Schizosaccharomyces pombe: one gene and its partner. The protein of the gene in region 1 interacts with the protein of each later gene in a biochemical or structural test. Each region holds a gene or a part of one and is shown on either strand. Other genes may lie near its edges.

What was found.
Region 2: the proteins of rpb5 (region 1) and tfa1 interact in far-western blotting, tested with the Schizosaccharomyces pombe proteins (one study listed by BioGRID).

What each region holds. Positions count from the first base shown.
Region 1 is NC_003424.3:1,050,215-1,058,036, forward strand, and holds rpb5 (DNA-directed RNA polymerase subunit Rpb5), read left to right. Parts: upstream 1-4,404; 5' UTR 4,405-4,520; coding exon 4,521-4,595; exon of another isoform or gene 4,596-4,659; coding exon 4,660-4,742; exon of another isoform or gene 4,743-4,833; intron 4,834-4,953; coding exon 4,954-5,428; 3' UTR 5,429-5,692; downstream 5,693-7,822. Other genes in the region: serine/threonine protein kinase (CK1 family) Hhp2, read left to right, coding at 1-275; SNARE protein Bet1, read left to right, coding at 1,515-1,525, 1,569-1,707, 1,757-1,960; mannosyltransferase complex subunit Alg1, read left to right, coding at 2,770-2,953, 3,030-3,462, 3,506-4,040, 4,132-4,254; autophagy-associated lipase Atg15, read right to left, coding at 5,927-7,201. UniProt on the Schizosaccharomyces pombe protein: DNA-dependent RNA polymerase catalyzes the transcription of DNA into RNA using the four ribonucleoside triphosphates as substrates.
Region 2 is NC_003424.3:4,742,529-4,750,979, forward strand, and holds tfa1 (transcription factor TFIIE subunit Tfa1), read left to right. Parts: upstream 1-2,000; 5' UTR 2,001-2,055; coding exon 2,056-2,162; exon of another isoform or gene 2,163-2,204; coding exon 2,205-2,300; exon of another isoform or gene 2,301-2,341; coding exon 2,342-2,483; exon of another isoform or gene 2,484-2,611; coding exon 2,612-3,571; 3' UTR 3,572-3,664; downstream 3,665-8,451. Other genes in the region: phosphatidylinositol 3-kinase Pik3, read left to right, coding at 1-114; WD repeat-containing protein Atg1803, read left to right, coding at 341-455, 507-607, 656-744, 801-892, 942-1,639; MAP kinase-interacting protein Sin1, read right to left, coding at 3,665-3,755, 3,795-5,678, 5,738-5,760; mid2 (septin ring organizing protein), read right to left, coding at 6,611-8,451. UniProt on the Schizosaccharomyces pombe protein: Recruits TFIIH to the initiation complex and stimulates the RNA polymerase II C-terminal domain kinase and DNA-dependent ATPase activities of TFIIH. Both TFIIH and TFIIE are required for promoter clearance by RNA polymerase.

The DNA of each region.
Region 1 (7,822 bases):
CACCTCCACAGGTTACATCTCCTATGGTGTCACAAACTCAACCGGTTAATCCCATTACTCCTAATTATTCATCCATTCCCTTACCTGCTGAGCGGAATCCAAAGACTCCACAATCTTTCTCCACTAATATTGTTCAATGTGCTTCTCCCTCACCTCTTCCTCTCTCCTTTCGTTCTCCTGTTCCCAACAAAGATTATGAATACATTCCATCTTCGTTGCAACCTCAATACAGTGCTCAACTGAGGCGTGTTTTAGATGAAGAACCAGCTCCTTGATTTTTTGACTTTACTTTTCATCAATTCCTCTCTTACACTACGTCTTTTAGTCTTAAATTCCAAACCATCTGTTGACGTTTTAAAGTTCCACAAATATCTTTAATAATTCCTGGCTTTCTTTTTTGTCTATGGATGGCCGGATTGCTACACTAATACACTTTGAGGTTTAGCTATTGTTTTGAGCTATTCCATTTTGCCTAGAAGTTGAGTTTTAATGCCTTCTTTTTAAATAGACATATTGTGTAAACCTCATACATGCTTTACTGAAAAGACATAATTAGAGGACAAAATTTAAATCGTGCTGTTTGTTTATATTCAGCTCGTTCCGGTCAAGTTCTTGCCAAAGAATTGAGTCAGTCGTGCTATTCATTTCTAAATTTCTTCTTCCCAGAATTTTATTTTATTGTTTTCGTTCCCCATTGGTTCTTACATTCCGTTTTTATTCAAAACTGAAAAGTTTGTACCTCCATTGCTAGAAGTAATATACACAAGGAGCATGTTTCTTTTTTTACACTATCATTTGCGTGGCTCTAAACCAGTCTTTATTGCCTACCTTTGCAATAAAAGATATAATATCAATTGCATAAGAAATAATTCATTAATAAATGATAAATTTCATCGATTAAATAGATCGCTATTTTTCACACTGTATTATGGGCAAGTAGCGTAAAAAATATTAGCTCTGTTGGAGTTGACCGCTGGATCATCAAGTTTTACATACTATTTAATTTCGGCTGTAGCAAAGAAAAATATCCATCGATTTGCCATATTATCATATCTATTGCTTTCTGTGGTATTTTAACCACCGGTATTTCACTTCTACAAATGTAAACAAAGCACGTTGATTTGTTTACATTACAGTTGCCCCAGTAACACATTATGGATCAGCACCACAAAGAAAAATCATTCAAAATTGATGCTCAAATTCAATATTCTACAGGCTCAAGAAGGGATCTATACTTATTTTTACTAAACCCATAACTATCATCTCTGTTTCGTCTGCGGTAAAAAAAAAATTGTTTAGATTAATGTAAAAACAGAGCAAAATGAGATTTGTCACTTAGTACAACAATGTGTTACCTCTACACGCAACTCCTGAGTTGCGTCGCATGTTATTTGATGAGCTGACTTTGCGCACAAAACCAATACATAACAAAGAGATCTTAGGATTTGGAAGTTGCGCTACACCAAATACTTTTCATATTCGGTAAAGGGAAAGATTTTAAAAAAAGCTTCAGAATGGGATCAAGGTATGTACTAAATCTGATCAATCAATGTCTAACTAATCATTAGATTCGGTAGAAGAAAAGAACGCAATGGCGATATGTTGCCCTTGTATGAGTCTCAATCTCCTCAGCATTTAGACTCCTTGGAAAATGAAAATGATGAACGGATTTCAAAGTTAACTGGAAAAGTCAAGTCTTTGAAAGAGGTAAGATTTTTGCCATCATCAGGAAAAACATGCTAACTAATTTTAATAGCTTACTATGAATATTGGGACTGAGATAACGTCTTCTACTAAGTTGATGGAGTCAATGAACGACTCATTTGACTCGACCAAGTCACTTTTGAGCGGGACAATGACTCGATTAAAGAATGTTTCGAAGAATGGAGGAATTTCAATTTGGATGTGGCTCGCCTTCTTTTGCCTCGTTGCGCTTATCCTCGTTTTGGTAAGATTTTAGGCATTTTGCTTACTACCTTTACTCTTTTTTAGAGTTAGCATTTTTATGATTCATTTTATGGCGTGTATAATCTGTTAAAATTGTATACTTGAAGTTTCTTCATTCTCTTTTCTTCTAACATTTTCATTCTGATTATTTTAAACTTATTATCGATAGAAAAAAAACATTCATCCACCTTTGGTGTTTCCACACAAGTGGTTTGTCACGATAGGAACGCAAATCCTCAATTTTTGTTTTCCTAACGACTTTGTTTTTAACTTATTACATCCTGTTATTATAAGTTTCTATCTGTTATTCATGATACTAGCCCTTCACTCGTCGTCTTACCATTTTTGTAAATTGACGCAACTATTACATTTGAGTTTTATTCAAGTTTATCGGCATGCAGGTCATGTCTTTTGCATTTTCTATTCCCAAGCTTGAAGTATGGAATGTTTAAGTATGTGATACGAATCTTACTACTTAAATTTATTTGCTTATTACATTATTTCTGCGTCTAGTGTTCTTTTACTTCAATACTTGAAATAAAATTTTTTTTTTTTCTTTAAGAGTACAATCATGCTTCTATTCCTTTTCCTTTGTATTTTAAATGCATGTTATTTCGAGTTTCGACATATTGGGTAGGTTGCTGTTTAATAGTGTATTATGGGCACAATAATATTTACGTAAACCATCAGCGCTGTACACCTACCTATAGAAAGTTGTTTTAAGAAGATATTCGCTTTTTATATGTCTAACAGTATTTAATAACTAGTTTTCTTAAGCGGAAGTTTCGAAATTCGATCAGTAACCGTGAGTTTGTGTACAAAATGCTAGTATTGAAGATAGTTTTATTTTTATCTTTGGTGATATGGTTTAATTTAAAAAAGAGGACGGATAAGAAAAGAATTATTGTTCTCGTCCTAGGAGATATTGCAAGAAGCCCTAGAATGCAATATCATGCCGTTAGCTTCGCTAAACTTGGATGGAAGGTTGATTTGTTAGGCTATCAGCGTAAGTTATCTAAAATATTTGAATATTTTAATCTATACCACATTAGGTGTATTTGTTGTCACTAACACTGTCGTAGACCCCGGGTCATCTGTAGGACTTTTCGAAAGTCATGAAAACATTCGTTTTTATCCCATTCCTTCACTTCCTGCGTATCTTCAACCTAAGAACCGCCTTCAGTTTTTGTTTTTGGGACCATTGAAGGTTTTACATCAATTTCTTGCACTGAACTGGGCTCTTTTTGTTCGAAAACCTGCTTCATTCCTGTTCATTCAAAATCCTCCTTGCATCCCTGTTTTCTTCATTGCTCAATGTCTTCATATACTACGTGGTACAAAATTTATCATAGATTGGCATAACTTTGGATATTCAATACTTGCGTTGAAATTAGGGAAGCAGCATACCTTTGTTAAATTACTTAAAATTTATGAGAAATACATGGCCCGAGGAGCATATGCTCATTTGACTGTCTCTAAACGGATGAAAGATGTTTTACAAACTTGGGGAATGAAGTAAGTATAAATTTGCTTTTTGCTCAACTCTAACATTTTCAAGTCCTTGCTATGTATGTTATGATAGACCCCCCAACCACTTTACTCCCATTAAAAATGAACAGAAAAAGCAAATGTCTATCAAAAAAATACCTTGTGAGTACAATCCTTCTTCTACGAAGCTCTTAATTACTTCTACCTCTTGGACACCAGACGAGGATATTTACATTTTATGGGAGGCTCTTAATGAGTACGACAAAACTTTAGATACGCCCAAGCTTTTGGTGCTGATAACTGGAAAAGGCCCGATGAAGGAAGAATTTTCTCAGTACATTAAGAAGCATCCATTACACAAAGTTCGTTTTTGCATGCCTTGGCTCAGTATTGAAGATTATCCGCAGGTTATGGCCTGCGCAGATCTTGGTGTATGCTTGCATACTAGTTCAAGTGGACTTGACTTGCCTATGAAAGTTGTAGATTTGTTTGGCTGTGGTGTCCCTGTTATTGCGCTTTCTTATCCAACGATTTCTGAATTGGTACATGATGGCGAAAACGGGTTGATCGTTAACGATTCAAAAGCTCTATCGAAAAAAATGCAGGTATGAAAAAAGATTTTTTTACAAAAAAAACCTTGAATAGCGATTCCTACATAATTTATTGGCTTTTTCGTACGATAACTAACTGTTTTAGTATTTATTAACTCATGCTAATGAATTAAATTCATTGAAACTGGGTGCTCTCAAGGAATCTGAATATCGTTGGGATGATGAATGGAACAAGGTCATCCCTCCTATAGTTCAAGGTTCAAATTAAGTATTTAGATATTACATTCTCAAACCTGAATTCCTAATTACCTTTTTTTTAATAGAATAATCCAATCGTTGTTACACTATTTGACCGCATTATACATGCTTAACGAATACTTTAATAATTATTAGAACTCACCACCAAAATTTTCTTGCTATCTTCTGCACACTGCTCTGCCGTAACTCCCTCTTTTTGGGAACATCTCTTTTAGAAGATCAATTCTCATTTTTTAACTCAGTTTTTCTATTTTTGTTTCTTATTAATTTTTCATAATGTCTGCGGAAGAAAAAAACATTGTTAGGGTGTTTCGTGCTTGGAAGACAGCTCATCAATTAGTCCATGACAGGGTATGTATTTGATAATCTTTTTTCTTCAAACATATTAGAATTATTAACAACTATTATAACTTAGGGTTACGGCGTTTCTCAAGCTGAATTAGATTTGACGTTGGATCAATTCAAGGCCATGCATTGTGGCATGGGTCGTAATTTAGAGTATGTACATTTATTTAAATCCATCGTGATAATGGATTAAACAATCCGATTGATTATAGAAGCAAATTCTGTTGATATCTGCGTATATGTCCATAGACGCCGGTATTTATAAATCGGTTTACTCTTAATCTGCTTTCTAATTGATGAACATGCTTCTTCTAAACTTCCTTTATCAATTTTTTTTTAAAAACTGTTTTGCTAATGCGTTTAGTCGTACAACTTTGAGTTTTTACGCAAAACCTTCCAATGATTCAAATAAAGGCACAATCTATATCGAATTTGCAAAAGAGCCCTCCGTTGGTATTAAAGAAATGAGAACTTTTGTTCATACTTTAGGTGATCATAATCATAAAACTGGTATTCTAATTTATGCCAATTCCATGACCCCAAGTGCCGCTAAAATCATTGCTACTGTCACCGGCCAGTTTACCATTGAGACTTTCCAAGAAAGCGATTTGATTGTCAACATTACTCATCATGAGCTTGTTCCTAAACATATTCTTCTTTCACCGGATGAGAAAAAAGAACTTTTAGACCGCTACAAGTTACGTGAAACTCAATTACCCCGTATTCAACTAGCTGATCCTGTTGCTCGTTATCTTGGTTTAAAAAGGGGAGAAGTTGTGAAGATTGTCAGAAGAAGTGAAACTAGTGGCCGTTATAATAGCTACAGAATTTGTGCATAATTTTAATTGGTACATGTGGGCTAGAAATATCGCTTCAAAACTACCATCTCTTTCTTTTTCTTAAAAAATTTCAATTTGAACATAATAATTTAAAATTCAAATCGAATAAAGCAATGTCTATAGCTATTACAATGAGCTTAAATTTTTGGATTAGATAGTTTTTAGAACAATACTTTATTAGTGATTTATTCAATAAAACATCAAGGGTTGGCATTCACGTTTACTTTTTATTACCAAAAGTAGATAGTTTATAGTCAGTACTGCTTTGTATCAATATTTCATTAAGTTATCATAGCACAAACGACTGTTTAAACCGAAGACTAAAGCATCTTCTTCTTGCTGGTACTTATTTTAAGCAAGCTAAAAATAAGTTTTATTATAGGTATACTAGAAAATAGGCATACTCGAATCTAATAAAGTGTGAAGGTTGAAAAGTTTGGCGTTCGTTAAAGTTTTAAGGACATTATCAGAAGTTGAAGCAAAGGACAGCCACTCCTTTCAACTATCATCATCAGGAAACTCCCACAAGTAACAATCAACACAATTCGGTGTGTGTGAGCAATCTGGTAATTTTTCGTATGCATCTATAACATCATTCAAAACAGTTTGCATACGATGGTGGGTAATAGAAAGATGCCACCCTTTGTCCTTTACAACATCATATAAACATTCCTGTCCTGTATGACAAGTTGATTCCATCGCATAACCTCCGGCCCAGCATAATGAAGTTGGACCTGTGCATTTGCCCAAATATATTGGATCAGCATTGTGACCAAAATGCCATACTAAACTTTCTTCGTCCGGTAATCCTGGAGGCATTGGAAGATGAAGACGTCGGGCAGCCATTCGATCACCAGGTGCTTCAAAAGTGACTGTTGGAATTCCAAAAGAAAGTCCCATTAAAGCGGCAGTAGCGCCACCTAATGAGTGTCCAGTCAGCCAAATCTGTGCATCAGGGTATAATTCTTTAACACTATAAAAAATATCCAATGATGCAGAATAATACCTTGAGTCATCTTGCACTTCATCCTCAAGGCAAGTTTGACTACAGGTGTATGTATTTTTATAGCAACCACAAACCGTAGACCAAGCCCAGCTGACACGAGCGCAACAACAGGAAAAAAGTAAATTGTCATTAACGCGATCCTTCTGCGAGGTACCGCGTCCGATTCCGAAGATGGACGTACCTTTCATCGCAATAATTATAGTGGAATTGTCATCATTGGAAAAAACATGTCCACGTAGACCATCTTCCTCCCAACCAAATCCTTCAGGTGGAGTTATATTCCAATCAGGTCCTAAATCTAACCAGTCCCCGTCGAAAGGAATTTTTTGGTAAGCATTGTAGCTCATCTTTCCAAGGGAGTAAATCGTTTCTTTATCAGTAATATCAGGAATCACGATTGCTTCCTGTTCCCATAAATCAGCTGGTGAATTCGCTTCAGAATAAATTCCTTTCATAGACTTATATCTATAATCAGTCAACGCATCGCGAGACTGATCCTTCAAGTGAACGGAATATCCTTTCTTCATTTTCAACGGCAATTTTGATTCACTCTCTGCGTAAACACTTTTCTTGGCCACATCTAGTCGATAATATGATATACTGTCCTCATTGAGTCCGTAATGAAATACATGCTGTAATTTGACATTAACCTTATCAGGCACATTTTCCGAAGATTTGATAACACTTTCAAATACTCCTGTACAACTAATCCTAATGATGAAACAAAAAAGGAAGAAAAAGCGCCTCAAGAATAGCAATTGAGACATTGCATGAATAGTTTGCTTTCCTTTTGTTTAAAAGAGCAACCGAAAAACGTTATGCGAATCTAATCCTCAATTCTAATAAATACAATGGGATAATTCAATGATTATGCTTTATCAGCTCATGTACATGCTTAACTCGTTTATGTTGCTCATAAATAGATGTTTTAAGTTACTTAACGCCTTTGGTAAGCAATAATTAATACATTACACTGCAGTAAGTTACGCATCATAGCGTGGTGTTGTATGCTGATAATGTCGCTATTTGATATAATATCTAGGTAATGGACACTGTAATTTGTGAATTTAGGATGAATGTATGGCATACAGGTTTTGTGACATGTTCTTCATAACGATACCGGAGCCTTAGACTATAATAATGCTATGATTGTAAGATTTATTTATATTGTTCCTAAATACGGCAATGTTCCTTCTCAGAAAAGACTTTGCAAATGTAACATGTTTTGCTATGGAGGACAAGGTATGAATTAATCATCCTTCGCTTTATAGTAGCACATTAGGTGCTTTTTATTCCCATGCTTAGCGGTAACCTATTTAATGGCAATAATGAACGCTTGAAATTTAACTATATTAGCAGTATGCGCAGCTCTTGTTGTTTCCCTAAAA
Region 2 (8,451 bases), 3.7 Mb from region 1:
TCTGAATCAGATGCCATCAAATATTTTGAACAATTAATTAATGATTCTGTCAGTGCTCTGTTTCCTCAAATCATAGATCGCATGCACAATCTTGCGCAGTATATGCGATCCTAAACATTAATGACTTAATGATTATATGCCCACATTTACACTTTTTTTTTTATCCAAACTTGCTTTTCCATTATAGCTGTTGTTGAACTAATACATTATTATGCCTAGTAAAAAGGTTGTGTTTTCTAAAGAAAGTGATGAATTGTATAATTGACGGTGTGTAATTTACCGAATTCACCGAGAACAATCTAAAGTAGTTTTGCATAATGCATAAACCCCACAAATTGGAATGTCAACTATTAATACTGTATCATTAAATCAAGATGCCTCATGCATGTCTGTTGCGCTAGATACAGGCTATAAAATCTTTCAAATTAACCCTCTAAAGCTGCGCGCTCAAAGACGTAAGTTTTGCAATATGCAGATCTCTTATTTGAATATTTACAATTGTCTAGAGTTCAATGACGGTGGTCTTTCAATAGTCAAAATGCTTTTTAGAAGCAATGTTTTACTCTTAGTAGGCGGCGGTGGAAATCCAAAATACGCACCAAATAAGGTAAGTTTGAGTAATGCTTTGTTTTCTTTTAGCTAAGCTTGTTTACAGCTTATTGTTTGGGATGATGTGAAAGAGAGGCCGGTAAAAGAGCTTGAATTGAATTTTGAAATAAAAGGAATATGTTTCGATGGGAAATTGTACGTTCTTCTCTTTTATATTGCTTGTCGTCTTATTAACAACTAACATATCTAAGATTAGCAATTGCAACCGCATCAAAGCTATTTTTGTACCAATTCGGAAATAACTTAAAACTACAAAGATGCCTTGATACCCAGAATCCAAAAGGTAAGACATTCTTTGCTTAGCATAGTCGAAGCTGACTTTTGAAATGTAGGCTTATGCGCTATGGTTACTACTGTTGAGAAAACTGCTATCGTTTTTCCTTCTAGAAAGGTCGGCCAGCTGCAAATATTATTTCTTTTTAAGGATCATATGAACACTAGCATAGTGCCTGCACATGATAGTGAGATATCATGTTTGGGTATATCCAAAACTGGTTCAAAAATAGCATCCTCTTCAACAAACGGTACTTTAATTCGTATTTGGAATTCAGAAACTGGAGAAAAAATTTGCGAATTTCGTCGTGGCTATCAACACACGGCAGTTTGTCAATTAGCGTTTTCTCCCGATGAATTATTGTTGGCTTGTGCAAGTAAGAAAGAAACTTTACATATATTTTCTCTTCACGGAAGTCCTAATACAATTCGTCAATTAACGTCTGAAGAACCTTATGAGGAAGCAAGTGAATTTAAATCTTCTACAACCGAACCCCGTCAAACTCACTGGAAACGAAAATTACTTAAGTTAATTGATAGTGGAAAACGTGCACATTGGAGAATTCAGCTTTATCAATCTAACCCTGTACTTTTACATTGGTTAGATGAAATGACTATTCTTATTTGTTACAAGGATGCTGCATATCAGAAATTAAAGCTTACGATTGAAGAATCTTCCAAAAGTGTGGAACATGCTAATCAACATGTATGCTTTCATTATGATTATACACTAGAGGCAGATGGGTCTTTATGCTGATGACTTTCGATTTCTTTCTAGTACTTTACCTTTCTACATTAGATAATTTTGTATATAACTTTTCAAATAACGTCTCATTAATGATTTTATGTTAAACAATGATACTATCCTAATTGTGCATGAATTTTAATACGTATCAAGTTTTAGCTAGTTCACCGAAGAATTTATTGAACAACGGACATTGTGAATAAATTTATAGTAATTTAAGGCAATGGACCACTTTTAAGACTATTATGTTTGAATGTCATTTTAAAAGATGTTTTCTAAATTAACAGTCTTCATGACTATAGGCATTTAAAGAGTCATTAGTTAACGCCTTAAGCAGTGTCTTTTTGTGGTACATTCTCCACTACTCCATCACCCTTTATTATTCGCTGCAAAAACCTTCCTTCGATTTATCGTATCATTTATCTACTATGTCCAATGCTCCAGAAATAGTACAGAGACTTATAAAAATGATTATGAGGGCGTTTTACGAAACTAGACATATAATATTTATGGATGCGATTTTGCGACATTCAGCGTACGTGCTTCACAAGATCAGAACGATTTTAACCTTTGGTAGACTTACAGATGAGCAAACAGCGCTGTTAATGGGTATCCCTATAAAAGAATGTCGGTTTATTGCTGGAAAATTGCGCGAGGATCGTTTATTGGCAATGTACGTGAAGGCAATTCCATGACCAGCTGCTAACCTTTCAGTCAAAGTAGGACGGAAATGAAGGAAGGCCAACAAAGGCAATATCATACAACCTATTTCTATATCGATTTCTGTTCTACGATTGACAGCATTAAATGGCGTATGCACCAATTAGTGAAAACAGTAGAAGATCGAATGCGAAATGTAAGTTCCTTTTTTAATTGGGCCTTTTTTCATAAAAGGTTTACCATATTGTTTCCTTCTTTTTGCTTAGTGTTTTACCCACTACTTTTACGAATCTCTTATTATCGTCACTTTCACTAACTTAGCAGGATTTCGATTCTAAAGGCTATGTTTGTCCATTTTGCAACAAAAAGTTTTCTAGCCTTGACGTTTTGTCTTTGGTGACCAACGAGGGAACTTTTGCTTGTAACGTTTGTGGAACCGAACTCAAAGACGATGAGGAGAGTGCAGAAATGATGTCTAGTCAGAAAAGGCTAGGAAAACTGATGGGACAAGTTAATGGTATAATCGATGCATTGAAAAGGGTGGATGAAATTGTCGTACCACAAAACAATTTCCAATCTGCTTTAGAACATGCGGTTCCTGTTTCGTTAGACACCCAAAATTTGTCGCAACAAAACTTGTCAAAAAGTAATTCAGACGTCCGTCTTTCCACCTCTTCGCCATCTATTACAGTTGATTTCTCTGCTGATAAAGAGACTGATGAAAAGCGTGAAAGGAATTGCGACAAGCAAGTCAAAGCTGCTCAAAACATTCTTCCCGAATGGCATGCAACATCAACAATTTCTGGCTCCATTACTCGTGCTGGAGCTAAAGATGCCGCACTTCATAGTTTTAGAACTGAAACTGTTAATGAGGTTCAAGACACTAAAACAGATATTACTTCTGAAAAGAGCGCCTTAGATGCTTATTACGCAACACTTCGTGCAAAGCAAAAAGAGGAAAGCGAGTTTATGGACAGTGAAAACGTAGATGATGAGGAGGATGATGACTTCTTAGACGTTACGACGGCTACCTCTCTTCAAAACAAAAGTACTGATTATGGGTCGGTCAAGCGTAAAACCGAGAACCTAAATTCAGATAGTGATATCCAAAATAAAAGAACAAAATCGATAGAAGAAAACAATTCATTACCACCTATTGTTTCTACAAATGGTATTACTGATGGTGATACGGAAATGCAAGAAAGTAAAAAGAATGTTATTATTAATGGATTTAATGAGGACGATGAAGACGATGAAGATGAAGCTGATTTTGAAGATGTTTAATAAAAATGACATAGGGGAGAGAGCAATGTGATACCAAAAAACAAAGGTGTTTATACCTATGTATTCATAGAATCTTTTTGTAATAAATAAATGTTAATTTATTTTTTTAACAGTATTCATCAGTGCACGTATCCTGCTAACTATAATGGCAGCTTCCAAGGCGGACAAAACTTCAAAATCATACCTGAACTCGTTAGCTTATTAGCGTTAAAAAATTTCTTACCGCTTAGTTTCCCTATTCTTGGACACAATCATTTTAAAATTACATGGTGATTTTTTAGACTGCTTGCATAAAATAATCGATCCAGCATGTATACTGGACGTCTTAGGCGTTTCAAATATATTTTTGGATTCAGACGGCATTATGTGAACGTATTCTCCATCAATAGCTAGTAGACGCTCATGTCTTCCCATAAATGAAACAGGTTGTCGTTTCCATACAAGAAATTCTTGATAGGTATTGCTCGACATAATATCTGTTGCATTGTATGTTGAAGATTGTGCATCTTTCTTAATAGATCCATAAACGGAATTTTGTGGTGAGGAGGTTGGCAATTGTTGGGTACTTCCTTTTTTATCGCGTACCTTCTTTTTAACAAGTTCTAGAGTTGGATTTCCGTCTAGTGAACTAAATGTTTTATCAAGTGGTAAAACAGTATCAGATCCAGCAACTCGCAGAGTATACTTAAATCGCTCCAATTGCTTCATCCAACACACCTGGTTCAACACCATAGCCAATCTAGTAGTTTTTGATATTTCAATATTGCAAAATCGAGCATTATCCCCGTATGGGGGAAGTCGTACCTGTACGACATGAGAAGTATTAAGTGTATCTTTGACATCCTGAGCTTGCTTTTGTGATTGACTTGAAGTTGAACTAGTATGCCGAATATGCGTTTTGTTATTGGCTTCAGGAATTGATGTTGGATGCTTCGATTTAAACGGGTAGGCAGCTTGATTTTCCTTTATTTGGGCAGGAGTGGCTTTAACTAAAGCAAATGCGTCAAAACCAAATTTTGATAATGGACCTACACGGTCCAAAGCGGGAAAATCTTCATCTAGCTCCCCGTCATCTTCAACAATACGTAAATTCCAATAATTCGGATTTTGAGCCTCATCTTCTATTGGGGGCACGAGTTGCTGGTTAACGTATTGAAGTAAAATATAACCGATAGCCTCAGAGACCAAAACATTCTTTCGGAGTTCTACAAATAAGGGCTTTGAAGGACTTTCGCTCGAAGGAAAATAAATGTTTAAACGGAGGGCATTTGATTCTGCATGTCCAGAAAAAGTAGCAAAATTTTCAGCCAATGGCCCATTCTGGCTACTGTTTTCTTTATGTTCAAGTAATGCACGAAGAGCAGATGTAGGAGCCTTTGCGTTCGAAACAGATCTTGCTTTATTGACTGTATTGTGTGTTCCGCGTTGCTTACCAGGAAAAAGAGCATCAACCGCAACAACTGCATCAGCTTCAGTGTCAGTTAAGGAAGAATTCATTGGAAAAGTAAGAGGAATTTCTCCTTGACTTAAATGAAATGATTCCTCAGAAATCGACCGTAGATCATCATAATCCGTAGAAACACTGCTTTGCTGGTTTATGGAAGACTGTTTGGACGAGGTTAAATTCACTGCCTGCGAGGATTCTACCATGTTGGTAAGCTTAAGATTTGCGATAGCATCAATATTATTTAATGTGGAAATTTTGGGGTCCAGTCTTTCCTCTTCTTTTATACTTGCAACATCCTTCTGCATTGGGACTTTGCTAAAAGAAAATATACACGAGTTATCGTCATCACCCACATCTGAAGATTCGGATAAGTCAGAAGTAGCATAATCAGAATCTTCAGCTCGAGAATGATTAACTTGACCCCCAGCACCATTTACTTGTTTAGTATCACTCGGCTTTCGGACATTGGATACAGTGTCATTAGCGACAATCGGGGGACTTGAAGAAAACGAAGTTTTAGAATAATCATAATCATGAATCAACAAGTCTTGCAATGATTTGTCCAATTCCCATTCCGGGGCCTCAGTAGATATAACTCGATTTTCGATTGAGTCAGGAAGTATATGAGAATATTGCATTCGCAAAAATGTTAACAAAAGACTGTAAAATAAACGTATTAGTTTGTATAAGTTTCATAGGAAAAAAAATAGTATCCTTACACTTTCTCTCTTGTTAATTCCATTCTGAGTCCTTATTATATCGCATTTACAGACTTTATAAAATATTTAATTTCAACGAAGTTTGAATACTTAGCGACCATACTTTTTATGGCACCTTAATATAGAAAATTTGTAAACTCAATTATGTGAAACGTTGGTGACGGACGCCGCGTGCTTTATTTCAGTTGCTATGTATCCCCCGCTAAGCATTTAATTAAGTGTTGGGGGTAACACCGTAAAGTACCACCAAATTTCAAAAGACAGCAAAATATGAACGAAACTATTAATTCAAACAGTTATTAACTGAAGTACAAAAACGCTAGACAATGAAAAAAAGTGATCTCATATACGTTTTAGATATTGCGAAACAGCTAAAAATGGTATTTGAACTATATAGCAATTACGGTATTAATTATTTACAGAATAATGTAATTAAATTATTGTGGAATTTTTATTTTTTGAAGTTTCTCAAATGGCAAGCTTACGACTTAATAAATTCACTCGACAACGCCAAGCTAGAGTATTTTAAGGAATTTGATTTATTTACAAAGCCAAGATAAACGTTTTGAGACAACTTATTTTGACAACGTTTCTTCGGATCAAGGGAAACTTTCAAAAATGAAGTATTTTGCAACTGAAGTATAAATATACATGGGGAGTAGTAAGTAATTGCTATCCGATTTTTAACAGCTTATATAAAACGAGCTCATTTCAACCGAATCTAGCTTCTCGATGGTAGATAAAATGAACATTATGTATTATGCGAGGGAAACAACAAAACCAATGAAAAATGCAAGACGATATAGATAAAGGAGAAGATAAAGACCAAATGTGATTTAAATAGAAAAAGTGAGGTCGAAGCAAATGGTCAATTTAAAAACTCAGCGAAAGAAATGATTTGGTCCAATTTTTGTGAACCATTGAACATTGCCCCAAATGCTGACGAAGTGTAGACATCCACTCATCTTTTTCGCCGACGGTTTCAGCGTAAAAATCGATGTAGTCCCCATTACTGAAAATGATACGGAAACCCGATTCGAAATACAGATACCCTTCTAGTTCTTCTTCATCACTATAATGGTTGTCATCCACGATATGTGTGGCTTCAGACAAATCAATCGTTGCTCTGCGAACTTTAGAGAATTGTTGAAAAGCTACTAACTTTGATCCTATTAATTGAAAATAGCGACGACGCCAATAAGGGCAATCCCCACCTTGTTGACATAGATAACCATCACACAATAAAGTTCTATCCCATTCAGCAAGCTTTAAGTCATACATGGCAGACTCGATTGAAGCGGGAAGTTCTTTCAGAGAGACAGGAAGCGCTGGTAAGAAAAATACGTGGATTTCGAGTTCTCCTACTTTTCGAGGGAGAGGCTTGACATCTTTAGCTGCCGGATCAACAGTCCATTTGTTCATGATTGGTAGAACCATAGATTGACAACGGCCTAGTGCGGTTCGGCTTACAGAATCAGTGTTAATGGTAACTTCGCCGAAAGTTCCATCTTCAGAAACAAATCCATGAAGTGCTTCTGAAACGGGGTCGGTAGTCATAGACTTTCTCTTATTTGTTGAAAATACTTTTCCAAGTGTAGAACGAGTGCGAACCTTAGGTGGATCGTAAGCCGCACGGAGCGTACATACAATTGAAGAACTAATACTTTCATCAAAAGTATACTCATTTTCAATTTTAGTAGTAGAGTGTAAGGCGTTCCATGGTACTTGAATGTGCTTACCAGAGATTGTATAAGTGAACCTAGTGGTCATCCCCGATGCCAAAGGAATAGTTAAGTTTCTGATTTCCATAAGACGGACAAACAATCTTCCACTCCCGCCGGTTTGTTGCAAACTACTGGACAAATTTCGCGATAACGATTCTGGCATATAACAAGAATTGACAACGCGCCGCGAAGTTTGCATTTCTTGTTTCTGACTAGTGGCATGTACAACTTTAGAATTCTGTCGTAGCAAATATGTCCTAGTCAAAGCGTCAAAGGCTGAAAGAACATTTGTAAAGCGAGGATCTGGTAAAGAAACCACTTTTGGAAGAAGCGGTATCGGAGCATTTTCGTCAAGAACATGAGGGGAATCTAAAGAGGTGATGGAGCTCGTAAGTGGCTCTTCGTATTCATGAATAGAATCTGAACGGTAGATATCAGTCCTACAATTCTCTCGGTTCTCATCTGCGAATGATAAGCGAGGAGGTGTCTTTATATCTTGGAACGAGGACGAATCTTCAGAGAAACCAAAAGATGCAATACTGTTTATACCTTCGCCAAGACCAACCATGTCACTAACACTGCTAACTATACTGTTCGTAAAACTAGTGTCAGATGAATTATGAGAGTGAGTAGGTAACTCAAGTTTGACAGGTGGTGAAATTGAAACTTCTTCAAATTCAGCTGGCAATGTGTCCTCGTTAAAAAGCTTTGAATTACAAACGGAACGAGCAGGATTTTTTTTAGGAATTGGTATGTCGCCATGGCCCTGGTTAGATGAATTACTCTTTATCGAGTTGCGTGGAGTCGAGCTACGACTGCTTTTATTTGAAGCCTCATCATCAGATAATTTGATCAAACATGAATCGTTCAATGACAGTATGTTCTCTTTGTTTACGTCTTCAACACTTGTACTACTACTATCCGTTTCATTCATGACAGAGTAAGTTGGGGTCCTACGAACTTCTGTAGAAAAAGGAAGAAGAGACTGAT